2 linked regions of the Saccharomyces cerevisiae S288C genome follow. Each later gene encodes a partner of the first gene's protein in a complex. Each region holds a gene or a part of one and is shown on either strand. Other genes may lie near its edges. A codon is read from its position in the direction of its gene.

Evidence for each region.
Region 2: the proteins of COX7 (region 1) and COX3 are in contact, whole or in part, in a cryo-EM structure (PDB 8DH6), measured with the Saccharomyces cerevisiae proteins. Residues at the interface, in NP_013983.1 of Saccharomyces cerevisiae: Ala2 (codon at 4,479), Asn3 (codon at 4,476), Val5 (codon at 4,470), Leu8 (codon at 4,461), Gln9 (codon at 4,458), Phe12 (codon at 4,449), Gln13 (codon at 4,446), Leu19 (codon at 4,428), Trp20 (codon at 4,425), Arg22 (codon at 4,419), His23 (codon at 4,416), Arg25 (codon at 4,410), Ser26 (codon at 4,407), Tyr29 (codon at 4,398), Leu30 (codon at 4,395), Phe33 (codon at 4,386), Ile36 (codon at 4,377), Phe37 (codon at 4,374), Val39 (codon at 4,368), Ala40 (codon at 4,365), Val41 (codon at 4,362), Thr43 (codon at 4,356), Pro44 (codon at 4,353), Leu45 (codon at 4,350), Tyr47 (codon at 4,344), Ile48 (codon at 4,341), Ala51 (codon at 4,332), Gly54 (codon at 4,323), Ile55 (codon at 4,320), Lys56 (codon at 4,317); in NP_009328.1 of Saccharomyces cerevisiae: Met18 (codon at 1,905), Pro19 (codon at 1,908), Ser20 (codon at 1,911), Pro21 (codon at 1,914), Trp22, Val25 (codon at 1,926), Phe28 (codon at 1,935), Ala29 (codon at 1,938), Ser32 (codon at 1,947), Leu35 (codon at 1,956), Ser36 (codon at 1,959), Leu39 (codon at 1,968), His42 (codon at 1,977), Gly43 (codon at 1,980), Tyr44 (codon at 1,983), Ile45 (codon at 1,986), Gly46 (codon at 1,989), Met50 (codon at 2,001), Leu53 (codon at 2,010), Phe56 (codon at 2,019), Val57 (codon at 2,022), Thr60 (codon at 2,031), Ser61 (codon at 2,034), Leu64 (codon at 2,043), Arg67 (codon at 2,052), Asp68 (codon at 2,055), Ala71 (codon at 2,064), Glu72 (codon at 2,067), Thr74 (codon at 2,073), Tyr75 (codon at 2,076).

The regions. Positions count from the first base shown.
Region 1 is NC_001145.3:774,646-786,298, forward strand, and holds COX7 (cytochrome c oxidase subunit VII), read right to left. Parts: upstream 4,483-11,653; coding exon 4,300-4,482; downstream 1-4,299. Other genes in the region: HOR7 (Hor7p), read left to right, coding at 107-286; MLO1 (Mlo1p), read right to left, coding at 670-1,074; YMR253C (uncharacterized protein), read right to left, coding at 1,301-2,545; YMR254C (uncharacterized protein), read right to left, coding at 2,970-3,278; GFD1 (Gfd1p), read left to right, coding at 3,356-3,922; PET111 (Pet111p), read right to left, coding at 4,984-7,386; ROY1 (Roy1p), read right to left, coding at 7,975-9,636; tRNA methylation protein TRM732, read right to left, coding at 9,976-11,653. UniProt on the Saccharomyces cerevisiae protein: Component of the cytochrome c oxidase, the last enzyme in the mitochondrial electron transport chain which drives oxidative phosphorylation.
Region 2 is NC_001224.1:77,360-80,522, forward strand, and holds COX3 (cytochrome c oxidase subunit 3), read left to right. Parts: upstream 1-1,853; coding exon 1,854-2,663; downstream 2,664-3,163. UniProt on the Saccharomyces cerevisiae protein: Component of the cytochrome c oxidase, the last enzyme in the mitochondrial electron transport chain which drives oxidative phosphorylation.

The sequences.
Region 1 (11,653 bases):
ATTGTTGCTCACTATGTGACAGTTTCTGGGACGTCTTAACTTTTATTGCAGAGGACTATCAAATCATACAGATATTGTCAAAAAAAAAAAAGACTAATAATAAAAAATGAAGTTATCTCAAGTTGTTGTTTCCGCCGTCGCCTTCACTGGTTTAGTAAGTGCTGCTAACAGTTCTAACAGCTCAAGCTCAAAGAATGCTGCCCAACCAATTGCCGGTTTAAACAACGGTAAGGTTGCAGGCGCCGCTGGTGTTGCTCTAGCTGGTGCTTTGGCCTTTTTGATTTAAATTTAGACTTTGTTTGGAATACATTGAAAGAGAAAGAGTGGTTAATCGGGTGTAGAAAGAACAATCCAAAGTCACCTTTATTGGCGATATGTGTCATTGTTAATCCATTGGCCACATTTTTCCGATGATTTTCTCTCGGTGTGCAATATAGTAATAAGTTTTCACCTTTTCCGGTGAATAATGAAAAAAAAAAAACGAATACAAAAAAAAAAGTAATTTCTTTCAAGTTTATATATATAACAATATAATATTAAGTAATTTTAATCGAAAATTTTTTCCTCTAAAGAACCCAAAAATAAGCAACTATTGAATGAATATCTAAAATGATCGGAAGAAACGGTGTGCGCGGCGGAGGGAAGCGAAAAATTGGGAAACGGAAGCAATCACTTCTGTATTAACAATTGTTTAAAGCTGGGGTGACTGAACCTACTACCCGATTTCATATTATCATTGTTAGTTCCTAATTGCTCGTTCTTAAACGATTTCCAGATATCGTTATAAAATATGCCGAACACAGATGGCGAGTCATTGTGCTCGTCCATGCCAATACTCAGCCCCTTCAGCGAAACATTGGTCTTAGAACTTGGGTATTGGTGCCTGTAGTTTTTGACAAAACGCTGAATAAACTCTTGCTTCTGGGACATATTCAGTTCGTGCCATTTTTTAAAGGGGAAACATGCCTCCTTATCGAAGCTGAGCGAAGAAGAAGAAACAGGCGTGTATATCGTGCTTAAAGGTTTGAACCCAATTCTTGTTCTGATGTAGCTTACGAAAACTTTACCAAACATTAACACTTCACACTCGATCTTCTTCGTTTTGCTGCTTATATGGTACTTGCTGAACGACGCGATGATCCTTTTGTTTTGTTTTCTGAATGCTCGTGTACCCCACTTTCCCTATTGTTCTCTTGTTTCGTGTCCTTGCTTCCTCGGACTGCGCATTTCAACATGACACAAAAAAAAAAGAAAAGAAGGAAAAAAATCATAGTAGAAACTGAGGAATTTTATACTCGTCTTATTTAGAATCGGATAGGTCAAACTCTGTCAGGGGAATAGAGTTCTCTTCGTCGTCAATTATTGGGGTTAGGTCCTTGGCAGTTGTTTCATTGTTTGCCGCCCTTATCCTTATTACCCACAACGTGGCACTTATGATGATTATCATACCAATCCACGACCAGATATTTGGCCAATGCTTGTACAGTGCAACGTCCCAGAAAACCGCATATAGTAGTTGTGTGTATGTCATCAAAGACCCTCTTCCAGCACGTTCTCTTTGGATACCCATAGTTAATAGCAGCTGGAAGATAAAGCCGGACACACCCAGATTACCAAACAGTATCCATTGTTTTTTGGAATGTGGTATCTGGAATTTCATTGAAGGGATAGTGTTAATCCCAATGAAAGACACTATCGCTGTGATCAAAGAAAAATAACTCACACTCATTATAGCGTGAGCCCTCTTACCAATATAACGAATAATGATGTAGACGCAACTCATCCCTAAAACACCCCACAACCCAACCAAAGTGGCAATCAATCTCGATTTTGGGTCCGATGATTCTACTATTTGAGAGGAAGAGTCGGTCAATTCGGGAGTTCCAAATAAAAATGAAGGCCTTACAATTAACACCACGCCCAGCAATGAGATCAGCGAACCGAGCGCTTCCACTTTGGTGAATCTTTCCCTCAGGATAACCCACGACAGGAATATTGTTAGTGATGGTGCCAAAAAAGTGATCAAAACGGCATCACTAATCGTCAAGTACATTAACGAATAATACATTCCAAAGACACCGAAAAATCCAGTGCAACCTCTCAATACTAACCATTTGCGTACTTCAGGTTTACCAAATGGTACATCCGAAATTGTGCTCTTATTAATATACATGTATATCAATGTACCAATATATGTTATTACCATTCTAACTAATAAGATTTGCAATGGCTTGATCTGTCTATCATTGGCAATATCATCGGGGTCGTTTTCTAAGACTTTAGTAGACACCACCATGGCCGAGTTGAAGAAATATGATACTGTCAAGAGAACAAGCCCAATATTTGGTTTCAAATAATCTTTACTTATTCTTTGCAGCGTTGTTTCGTTGCCATCGACGTTAAAGTCTTCATTGCTGTTTGACTCTTTCGGTGAAAGTGATCTCGTAGTAGACGGTAGTTGCAAACTCGTATCATTCATTTCTTTAGAAACTAGTAGGTGTGTATTGTTTTCTCTTTTCATAACCTTCGGTACTGATGGATTCATTTTCTTATCTCTATCTATTTTCTTCACCACAGCAACAACAAATTCATGCCTACGAAAACTTAAGAAGGAAAAAAAAGGAATTTTACTGAAATAAGAAAAATTCTAAAGTAGATCAAAGAACATCTCGCTTTCCAATTCCACATCTTTGTCCAAAATATCCAACTACCATTCGCACCATTCTGCGATCTTTGGAAGGGCCCTTAGGAGCCCTATCCCTTACCGTTAGCCGGTATCTTTTTACCAAATTAAGGTGCATTTCCTAGTTAGGAAAATGCCTCATGACGGTATCTGGGGTCTCTACGTCAAGTAAATATATGTCAATATATCGATGTGTCGGCAGACTTGCTGGCTTGCGCGAGTTAATGAAGTAATAGAACAAGCTTTCTGTAATCATCCCGTCACTTATGCTTTTGTACATATCGTGTCATACTGCGACTGTCTCAAGGAAATACCATGATAAAATATCTCTTACAATCGAAAAATCTAGCACGTGGGAGGGTAAGCATAAACTACCCAGAAACGCATGTATGGACTGCATTTGCTTCCTGACCAAAATAAGTATTATCGTCATATAAAAAACGTGCATAGTATATGTAACATCAATGATGCTGGGCGTTGTTTGCCATTTTGTATTTACTATGGCAGTGTATTTTGTAACGAGCACGTGATTTACAGGGCGCAGAAATGTTGAAAATTTAGAAAAAAGTAAGATAAGCAATATCAGTGGCACCATTGAGCTAGTCTCTAACAGCGGGGTGAGAAGCTATTTTTGATAGGAGAATACCTTCAATATCATTTTTACTATTTATCATGCCTTTAGAATCTATATGGGCCGATGCCCCTGACGAAGAACCAATAAAGAAGCAGAAACCAAGTCACAAGCGGAGTAATAACAATAAAAAGAATAATAATAGCAGGTGGAGTAATGAATCAAGTTCAAACAATAAGAAAAAAGATTCTGTAAACAAAGTGAAGAATAACAAAGGTAACCACGAAAGTAAAACGAAAAATAAAATAAAGGAAACTCTTCCCAGAGAAAAGAAGCCGCCTCATAGTCAGGGCAAAATATCGCCTGTAAGTGAATCATTGGCGATAAATCCTTTCTCCCAAAAAGCAACAGAGATATCTCCTCCACCAGTTTCACCTAGCAAGATGAAAACTACCAAAACACAATCCAAACAGGATACCGCTTCTAAGATGAAGTTATTAAAAAAGAAAATTGAAGAGCAGAGGGAAATATTGCAAAAGACTCATCACAAGAATCAACAGCAACAAGTGTTGATGGATTTTCTGAACGATGAAGGGAGCTCCAACTGGGTTGACGATGATGAAGAGGAGCTTATCCTTCAACGTTTGAAGACCTCTTTGAAAATATGATCCCTCCCATCACATGGACACTTTTAAGCACGTTTTGCTTGAAGAGACATTAGTTTACACCATTATAATTGTTTAATAAATACTAGACATACTTCAAGTGAGAAAATCAATCACACCTTTTTCAATGATTAGCAAATCTTTATTGCCAGGCCTAACTGAAACGATTTATTACTGCGCAAGAAAACAAAGATGGAAAAGGCTATGCTAGTTCGATTAGTTGTTTCCTTATTCTTTAGAATATTATATATGTATATATAAATAAATGGCTTTCATCTTATTTCGAATAAAAATGTTTTGGGTGATGTGTATTGAGCATACACACTTAATATCAAAGAACAATTATAAAGATGCTATGAACGGATGTTATTTTTACCTAACTATGCCTTCTTGGCTTTGATACCTCTAATAGCATTTGGAATGTATAGAAGTGGTGTAACGACGGCTACCGCAAAAATAGCATAAAATGGATACAGGTATAAAGCTGACCTTGGATGTCTCCACCATAGAGGTTTAGTGGAAGATTGGAAGATTTTCTGTAGTTGAATAACTTTATTAGCCATTATTTATTATTGTTTTGCTTTCTGTACTTGTTGGTTTAGAATCTTATATCGAGTTCTACTATTCATGGGATGAATAAATAATATCATCTTTTATTTCTATCCGCCTTTTCAAACCTGCCCCTACCAGGCCGGATTTCTCGGACGATGCGCGGCGTAGCCAATCAAGTACTGCCTTTTTTTTTTTTTGCTGACACTATATGTATACGTGCATATAATCAAACAATAAAGCAATTGTAAGCGTCAGCAATTCTAGCTGTACTAAGATCGTAGTGATTATATGCGCTTATATTTACATGGTATGAAGAATAAAATTTGAATAAATAAATAAACGTACTCTTTACGAGTACAAATCTCAAAACTAAAAGAAAAAAAGGGTTACATCTTGTTTCCAAATAGCGTCTATAGAAATGTAGGGTATAAGTTGATGCAAAGGTTTTTAGCGGTGTGTATGACACACAAATATTTACACGTGAGAGAAAGGAAGGTAAATAACTGAAAAGATTACTCCTCCTCCTTTTTATTCTCTTCAAAAAGCTTCATTTTCCTTTCATTTTGCTCCAACTTTAATAGTGAAATCTCTTCATCAAACCATTCTTTTAAGAAAAGTGTTAACTTTCTCATATTCTCAAGCCCCTGGTATTTATAGTCCACATATCTAAGTACTAACTCGTCAATGCGATCCTTTATCTCCTTGTTATCAATGGAAGCAGCAGTTGAAATGTAAGCAGGCCTTTTCTCAAAATATTTCATAAAGCCTTTGATTTGTCTAATGCAACCTGGAGTAATCAGGCTTGCCCTATGATTACAATTCCAGTCTTTTAAAATCCTACTAAACCGTTCGCTTTCATGCATTCTTGACGCCAACTTTAAAGATGTCATGTAATACATCATCCACTGTTTGTTATTTGAAGTATCCAAATTTTTTCTAGCTTGTGAAATTAGGTAACATGCATATTTGAAATCACGGGTGTGGAAACATATTTGAGTAAGTTGTAAATAGTTTTGAACTGAAAGCTCCTTTTGATGTACTCGTTCAAATTCCTTCAGTTTGAATTCCAGTTCTTTTAAATGTTCAGCAGACAACTTTTCAAAAGATCTATAATTAGAAATGATCTCCCATTTCAACCATAATATATCGACTTTTAGTGGGATATAGCGGAATCTGGTCCTTAATATCACATCAACTACACGTGCCAAACCAGTTAAAGAGTTTCTCAAGCATAATGCCAAAACGGAATACAAAAATGAAAATTGAGGCGCAATGCCCTCCTTCAAACTATTCGAAATCACCAATTCTGCTCCATATACATCATTGTGAGAAACTTTTTTCTTGAACTCTTCAAACCTTTCAAAATCAACCGCGTTGAAACCAGATAACGAAGAGTCTTCTCCTCCATTGATCTTTCTCGTATGGATATGGGCATTTTCTTGTAAAAATGTGTACACCCAAGTGAGACATTTGCTGTATTGGCTCCTTTTTAGAGTCACAAGTAGGTCATTTGTAATTTCTTTTGCCAGCATTGGATAAACATTTACGGCACATGACCATAATTGTTGAATAAATGCGGGCCGTAATCGCGTTTTACCATCAGTGGTTTTAACTACACTGCGATAATATTTGAAAAGTCCTTCGAATTGATTGGTGTTGACAAAATACCTAGAAATGCACAAATGAAACGAACCGTCTATGCTAATATCATTATCTCTCTGGATTTTTTCCAAGATTACTTTTAAATTCTCGAAATTGTTAGTAGAGACGTACGCTTGAACCACTGACATATATAGCTCTTTTCGTGTTGAAATATTATTATTAAGTCTGGTAATAAATTTATCAACTCTTTCCATCAATATTGAGTCATCAATGCTTTTTGTTCTGTCTCCTTTGATGCAATACAGAGAATGACAAAATTCAATCAACTCAAACTGCACACTTGATGTATATCCCGTACTTAAAACAACGGGATTGGTTAAAAAATCGTTTAGCTCATCTGTATTAGAAAAACGTAATAACATTCTGTGTATTATCGCGAGGGTTTTGAACGAGGGAAGGTTAGTTGAAGAGGATTGCTCATCACCACATTTCACTTTCAACCAGAGATAAAAGATGTGTTTCATACTGGACATATCTAGATATCTTTCCATACATCGGAGAAACTCAAAAAGCTGCTTTTCAGTTATTGGAAATGTATCAGGATTGGTAATTGCTTGCGTGTAAAATTCCACCGCTAGTTGAGTGTTATTACTCCTTATGAAAGAGTTTAATCCTAAAGATATCATTTGTGGCTTTACTTTGCAATATTTGATATATTCTGCAAATAAAGTTTCACAGACATCAAAATGATGTAAATTATGCTGTACTACCAACATAATTTCGATGAACTGACCATATGTGCCTTTATCAGTGTGGCTTGCTAATAAGGGCGTGAATTGCTCATATGTTGTGTATATTTGTCCAATATCGTAGTCCCTTTTCAAAAAGTGAAGAGAATTTATTAAGATCAGTAATTGCTGTATTGAAAACAAAACCTTTTGGTTAGTGGAAAGGCTAATTATTGTCATCAAAATATCTGGATCTGCACTTTCGAATTTTTGCTTCCACAATATTCCAAAATCTTTGTCTTTCACTATATTATATTGATTCTTAAGAATATCTAAGCTGCTGGGGCTTTTGGTAATGGAGTCCATCCAATCGAGTTTATTCCGAGACTCATACACACCGCTTATTGTTGAAGAATCTTTTAGTTGCGCTTTAACCCAATCCTCAATATCTTCCTTATGCTTTTTTTTGATCAACTCAGTTGAGTAATATCGTACTTTAAAGAAAACAGTGTGCATAACCTTGTTTGATTCTCTGTGAAGTAATCTCTTTATACCACTGGAGGATATAAATCTCCGTTGTAACATTAAGTTCTCGTAAGCAATTGTTTAAATTTAATAGGTAGTGATAAAAAATTTGACGATATCAAAGTTGTGGTGTAATTAATAGAATACATGAAAAGTTATGATCAACATAAAAATGCTCTATACCAGATAGAATTTTATAAAAAAGGAAGAGAATAAAACGATAATAAAAGGAAAGACAGGTTAAACGATTGGAATGGGGTCTTCAAGTTACAAATCTAGAGGAAAGTGTAGACCTAGTGCAGCAATTGTAAATTTTGAACCTTTCTGTGGGGGGAGGGGTTTCTCAAAGTATCAGATAGTATTATGCACGGTAAATAAAGCCTAACAACAAGAAGTCCAAACAATAAATAACAACCGTTTCTGATCCTTGGATCGTATACAGAAGCTTGTTCATTTCAGTTTTTTCATTGTCTCTTCCTTCGGTATGCCTACCTTTCTGAAATATATGGTTATTATTCGAAGAACTCGTAAGGTCCGGGTAATAATTATGAAATGCAATAGTAAAATATAATTATTACTCAACTGGCTGTATATATACGAACTCCTTCAACAAATGTACATAAGAAATGTTTATCACAACTATCAAGTTTAATCATAAATAGTTTCATAAGTGTGTAATTCTGGGCTCACGCTAAAGTATATTCCTGACAACATAGTTTGGCGAAGGTTTGGCAATATCTTTATCAAGTAGTTCATGTAAGGATAAAAAAAATGCGATATAATAGTGGCTAAGGGCTCAAATGAGGATTCGTCAAAATAACATTCATAACTTGCAAAGTGATGAATTCTCTCAAAGCCATGGAAATTCCACGTCGTATCCTCAGGGGCATACTGTAGTAAATCCAAATCCCAGTTCTTCTGAGGATCAAACCTCTTAGCTAGAGATTTTCCAGTATATGCTGCAAACACTATCGGTATAATATCCAAGTATCTTGCATCCGGGGTCGAAAAGTATTGATGATTCATGATGTACTTATCAAATAATGGTAAGTATTTGGAGCAGAACGCACATTTGCAGCCGTTCCACAAAAGGTCACACGCATACATTTCATATGAGGTGATGGACTGCAATACAGTTGGAGCTATTATTGTTTCCAACGAAGTTAGCTTTGGTAAAACCTTTTCATAAAGTTTTTTACGGCGAAGCAAGTTCCCATCAACAGTATCAATGCCCTTGCCATTTAAAGGTGGGTCATGTCGTATGCTTAACAAACGCAAATCTTTACTCACGTTTGGTAAATTTAAAATAAACTTATTAACGACCAAGTCCCATTTCTCGTCCATGTAATGGTACCCTTTTTTGGTGAATGTCTTTTCAATGAACCCCAGACTTGTTAAGGAAACAAGGTTTCCTGTTATATCTTGAAGAAAGTCATCATCACATTCACAGTCGTCCACCTCACAAGAAAATTCTAATTCAAGGGCTTTAAGATTGGATAAATTAACTACATCCTTAAACGCGCGTGAAGATAATCTCATAGAAGTAGCACTCCCATCACCTTGTTTGTGAACATGATTAAGCTTCAAACGGCGCAGATTCTTGAAGCGGAGGTTCAGGGAATCAAAGTATTCAAAGACCCTTAGGCTTGAGTACGCTTCGTCCTTTATTTCTAACTCTCCTCCATTAAGTTGCTTCATTAACATTACACCCACTTCAGGGATTATTACGTTTTGCAAATCCAACGATTCAGGTAATTGCCATTTTAAGCTTTTGAAGTTTTGCCATAATTTGATACCATCAAATCCAGTTTCGCCATATACTACTCTCTTCTTTAAACTTGACAGGCGATAATACTTTGCTGAACATAACTCAAACAAGGTAGGATCCTTGATGTCAAGACTTTCAATCACGTCCAAGTCAGTGATTTCATTGACCAATCTTTGTAACAGTTGCAATCCTTCTTCCCTGTTGTGAAACAAATCCTCGTCAATAGTCAGCTGTTTTATACATTTTAAATGCGATGTCTCCAACAACCTTTCAATTCTATCATATAAAAATATGTCATTCTTGTCACCGGTTTTCAGAACAGATCTATAACCACTTACATAAGTTTTTCCCCCGTCCAAAAACCATTTGTTTGTTCTTAAAACAGGATTCTTAGTTATGTGAATATTGCTATAAAGACGAGGGATTGCAATCATGTCATGCATTTTTTTGGATGTTAGACTTAGGCTTAATAAATCATTTTGATTAAGAAATAAGGAGGCATGCGAGAACACTATGAATATATCTTGATCTTGGAATGCCATTTGTCAGTATTACTTTTGTTATATCATGTGAGCACAACTGTCGTTTTCACAATAGTTCAAATTGACTAGAGAGTTAGTAAAGGGGTACAACTTGCTTTTGTAATAGGGCACACCTTTAATTTTCCATCCATGAACATTTTTCAACAAAAAAAGAGGTGGAAAAAATTCAAAAGAAAATGACAACGGTAAAGAAATTAAATCAAGTTCCATCATTGTATTTAGAATAGAAATCGACATGCTTTGTAATAGGTTCCACAATGAATCTCGTCACTAAATCCACAAGTAGGTTAGAGATGAATCAGATTATATGCAAAGTATATATCTGTACATATTCATTATTTATAATTGGGAATAACTGATAATTAGGGGATGAACAGAATGTTTAGTCAGAACATTGATAAAATTCTCATAATCAGAAGGAGAATAATGTTGAATCAGTTCCTTTAAAAGCGTTATTCTTGAAAATATTTCAGCATTAGAGCACCAGCCGAGTGGGGAATCTTTAAAATCCTCGGTGTTGAAGTGCTCCAATAGAGCACTTTTTAGGTGATGTATCTGGTCTTTGTAACACTTTGAGATATCCCTTCCAGTCAATTTTATCATATTTAATATATGCATTGCCTTTTGTAGTTCGTTGATGAACTGGTTATCCTTTTCTATAGTAAATAGACAATTCTTCGCCGATTCTTCGGCAGCAAACATATCATATTCATTTAGATATTGAAACAACTGTAAACACAACTCTTCTACCACCTCAGAACTTGTGAATACGTCAACAAACTTTTTTGTGAATATAAGAGCGGTCACACTGGTGTTCCTGTTATATTCCCAGTCTGCAGTTTGAATAAAGTTCTTATTCAAATAAAAAGAAGCCTTTTCTCTTATTTCAGAATCATCGTCCCATAAGAAGTTGTACAGTTGTAATAGTATTCTGGAGTTCTTACAACTTTCTGGATAAGCAGTTAAACATTCTAAAGATGCCAATCTAAAATCTTTTGAACAAGAATCGGCGAAAAATCCTTGTAACAAGTTCCATACCTGGTGAAAGGTTTGCGAAGACAATTTAGCACTTAGTGATGAAACGGCAGCAAGTTTTGTATCTTCACTATTATTTGTTTTTAGGAGATCAGTGCAGGTCGTCAGGGATAAAGTATTCTTTTTTCTTGAGAGAATTTTCACTACTAAAGCTTTAGCCATAGGCAGCAAATCTGGAACCCTGAGTAATAATTGTAGTTGTTCAAGAAATTCTGAGTTTCTTGTAGTTTCCCAGTGAAAGTTAGTATTCATGTACTGTAGTGTACTGAGCTGAGCCTCATAAAATGGAGAATACAATCCTAATAAGCAAATATCATCGAGATATATACTATCCTCATATTTTAAGAGCATGTCTAAGATTTGTGCAAGATATAGCTGTTTGCTACCATCCACAACATATTCGTTATTTTCAGCAATAAATGTGTTCCGCAAAGTGCTGATATAATCTTTTAAAATAGAATCAGGTATGTCGCATGTTTCCAATATACAGCAGGTCAATTTTAAGTAGGCCTTTTTAGTGATAAAGCACTTGTTCTCTAGTAGAAGCATCCTTTTCTTTTCAAGTATCCTTTGAATCAACTCCATATCTCTAGTTCCTGAAAGGTATTGTGGTACTAGTTGTTGGAGTGCTAGTAAGTGTCCATGTAACTGGTTTTGCTTCGCGATAGAAGCCAAGTCAAGTAATTTTCTTATCTCTTCTTCAAAATTTTCCGACAGCATATGCAATACTCTAGAGGCCATATCTCTGATCTTCCAGTTCTCATTTGATAAACATTCATAAACAGAAACGTTGAATTCTTTTAGACCAGTATAGCCAGCTGTAGGCCGTAACCTCAGTAGCACATTAAGGACCAAGAAAATGCTTTCAATTTGATATGATTTTCTTTCACTTCCCGAATATTGAGCAATAGAACTGTTTAGAATATTCAAAAGCAGTTGCCTCAAGCCAGAATATTTGGTAAAGAATAATTTTGCACTAACG
Region 2 (3,163 bases), on another chromosome or scaffold:
TATTATGTATTATTATATAAATATATATATATATTATATTATAAGTAATAATAAGTATTATATTATATATAGCTTTTATAGCTTAGTGGTAAAGCGATAAATTGAAGATTTATTTACATGTAGTTCGATTCTCATTAAGGGCAATAATAATAATATATTAATTAATAATTAATTTATAATAAATATATTATAATAATTAATATATATATATATAATATATTTAATACAAAGAAAATATATATTATATCTCTTATTTATTTATTTATTAATATTTTAATAAATATAATATTATAAAAAAAAGTTTATATATTTAGTTCCGGGGCCCGGCCACGGGAGCCGGAACCCCGGTAGGAGAAATATAAATATAAATATAAATATAATATAAGTTTGGTATTCATTTAATTATATTATTTAATTAAAAATATTCTAAATAAGAATAAATATCAATAAAGGAGTTATAAATATATATATATATTAATATATATATAAAAATATATATTATTATTAGTTCCCGCTTTGCGGGAACCCCGTAAGGAGTGAGGGACCCCATGGGAACCGAACCCCTATTTAAGAAGGAGTTTTATTATAATAAAATTTATATATATTTAATATATAATTATAAAAATATTATATAATAAATAATAAATAATTATTAATAATAAATAAATATAATAATAATATTATAATAAATTTATAAATGATTATAATAAATTTATATTAATTTTTTATTTTGTAAATACTAAGATTTGAACTTAGATAATATGCACCTAAAAACATACATTTTACCATTAAATTATATTTACCTTATTAATTATATAAAATTTATTAAATATATAATATATTAATTATATAAAAATTATTAAATAAATATATAATATATTATATATAATTTATAATATATATATTATAAATATTATTATATATAAAATATAATATACTACTTATAAAAATATATATATATATATAAATATATATATAAATAAATATTTTATATATTAAATTAAATAATTATTAATAAATTTAATTATAAAGTATAATTTTCAATAGGAATATTTATAAGATTATAATAATTATATGAATTATTATAATTATATATATATAAATAAATAAAATAATAATTATAATAATTAATAAGAGTTTTGGATATATATCTGTGGAGTATATATTTTATAAAGGAGATTAGCTTAATTGGTATAGCATTCGTTTTACACACGAAAGATTATAGGTTCGAACCCTATATTTCCTAAATCTAGATATAATATTATATCTATCTTAATATAATAATATTTATTTATTAAATAAAAAAAAAATAAATAATATTAATTAATATAAGATTCTTTTTTAATTATAATAATAAATAAATAAAAAGAAGATATTATCAATGATTTATATTAATAATAAATATAAATAATAAAAAATATATATAATATAATATAATAAATATATTTCCTTTAATATTAATAAATTAATAATAATAATAATAATAATAATAAAATATTTAAATAAATTATATTCAATACAAATTAATTATTTATATTATTAATAATTGAATAAATAATCCGGTCGAAAGAGATATTAATTCGATTATATTATTTATTTAATTATATTTAATTTAAATATATAAATTAATATATATATATTGAATTATATATAAATTTATTTTATAATTTTATAAATAATATATTATTATAAATATTTAATATAATTTATATTATTATTAAATAAAAGATTTATTAAATTAATATTATTATTTAATTTTATTATATAGTTTAAGGGATAATATTTTATTAATATTTTTTTTATTTATTTATTTAATTATATTATATATATAATATATATATAACAATAAATTTATGACACATTTAGAAAGAAGTAGACATCAACAACATCCATTTCATATGGTTATGCCTTCACCATGACCTATTGTAGTATCATTTGCATTATTATCATTAGCATTATCACTAGCATTAACAATGCATGGTTATATTGGTAATATGAATATGGTATATTTAGCATTATTTGTATTATTAACAAGTTCTATTTTATGATTTAGAGATATTGTAGCTGAAGCTACATATTTAGGTGATCATACTATAGCAGTAAGAAAAGGTATTAATTTAGGTTTCTTAATGTTTGTATTATCTGAAGTATTAATCTTTGCTGGTTTATTCTGAGCTTATTTCCATTCAGCTATGAGTCCTGATGTACTATTAGGTGCATGTTGACCACCCGTAGGTATTGAAGCTGTACAACCTACCGAATTACCTTTATTAAATACTATTATCTTATTATCTTCTGGTGCTACTGTAACTTATAGTCATCATGCCTTAATCGCAGGTAATAGAAATAAAGCCTTATCAGGTTTATTAATTACATTCTGATTAATTGTTATTTTTGTTACTTGTCAATATATTGAATATACTAATGCTGCATTCACTATCTCTGATGGTGTTTATGGTTCAGTATTCTATGCTGGTACAGGATTACATTTCTTACATATGGTAATGTTAGCAGCTATGTTAGGTGTTAATTATTGAAGAATGAGAAATTATCATTTAACAGCTGGACATCATGTTGGATATGAAACAACTATTATTTATCTACATGTTTTAGATGTTATCTGATTATTTTTATACGTAGTCTTCTACTGATGAGGAGTCTAAGGCTATAGAATTATATATCTAAATGATTAATATATATATTATTAATAATTAACAATAATTAATATATTATAATTTATATATATATATTTTATATTATTATAATAATATTCTTACAAATATAATTATTATATATTATTCCTTCAAAACTCCTAACGGGGTTCCCGCGAAGCGGGAACTAATAATAATATAATCATTATACTCTTTTTTCATTTACCTTTTATAAAGATAATTAATAAATTTATTTAATATTTATAAAAAAAAAAATATAATATTAATATAATATAATATAATAATGTAATTATTTATATTTTTATATTCCTTCGAGGTCACCGCCTCACCTCCAGCGGGACTTTTTTAATATGATATAATATAATATAAATATTATTAATTTAACTAATATATAAATTCATATATATATATATATTATTAATATTATTTTATAAAAAATATTTTTTATTTGATTATTATTAAATATTATATAGTTCCGGGGCCCGGCCACG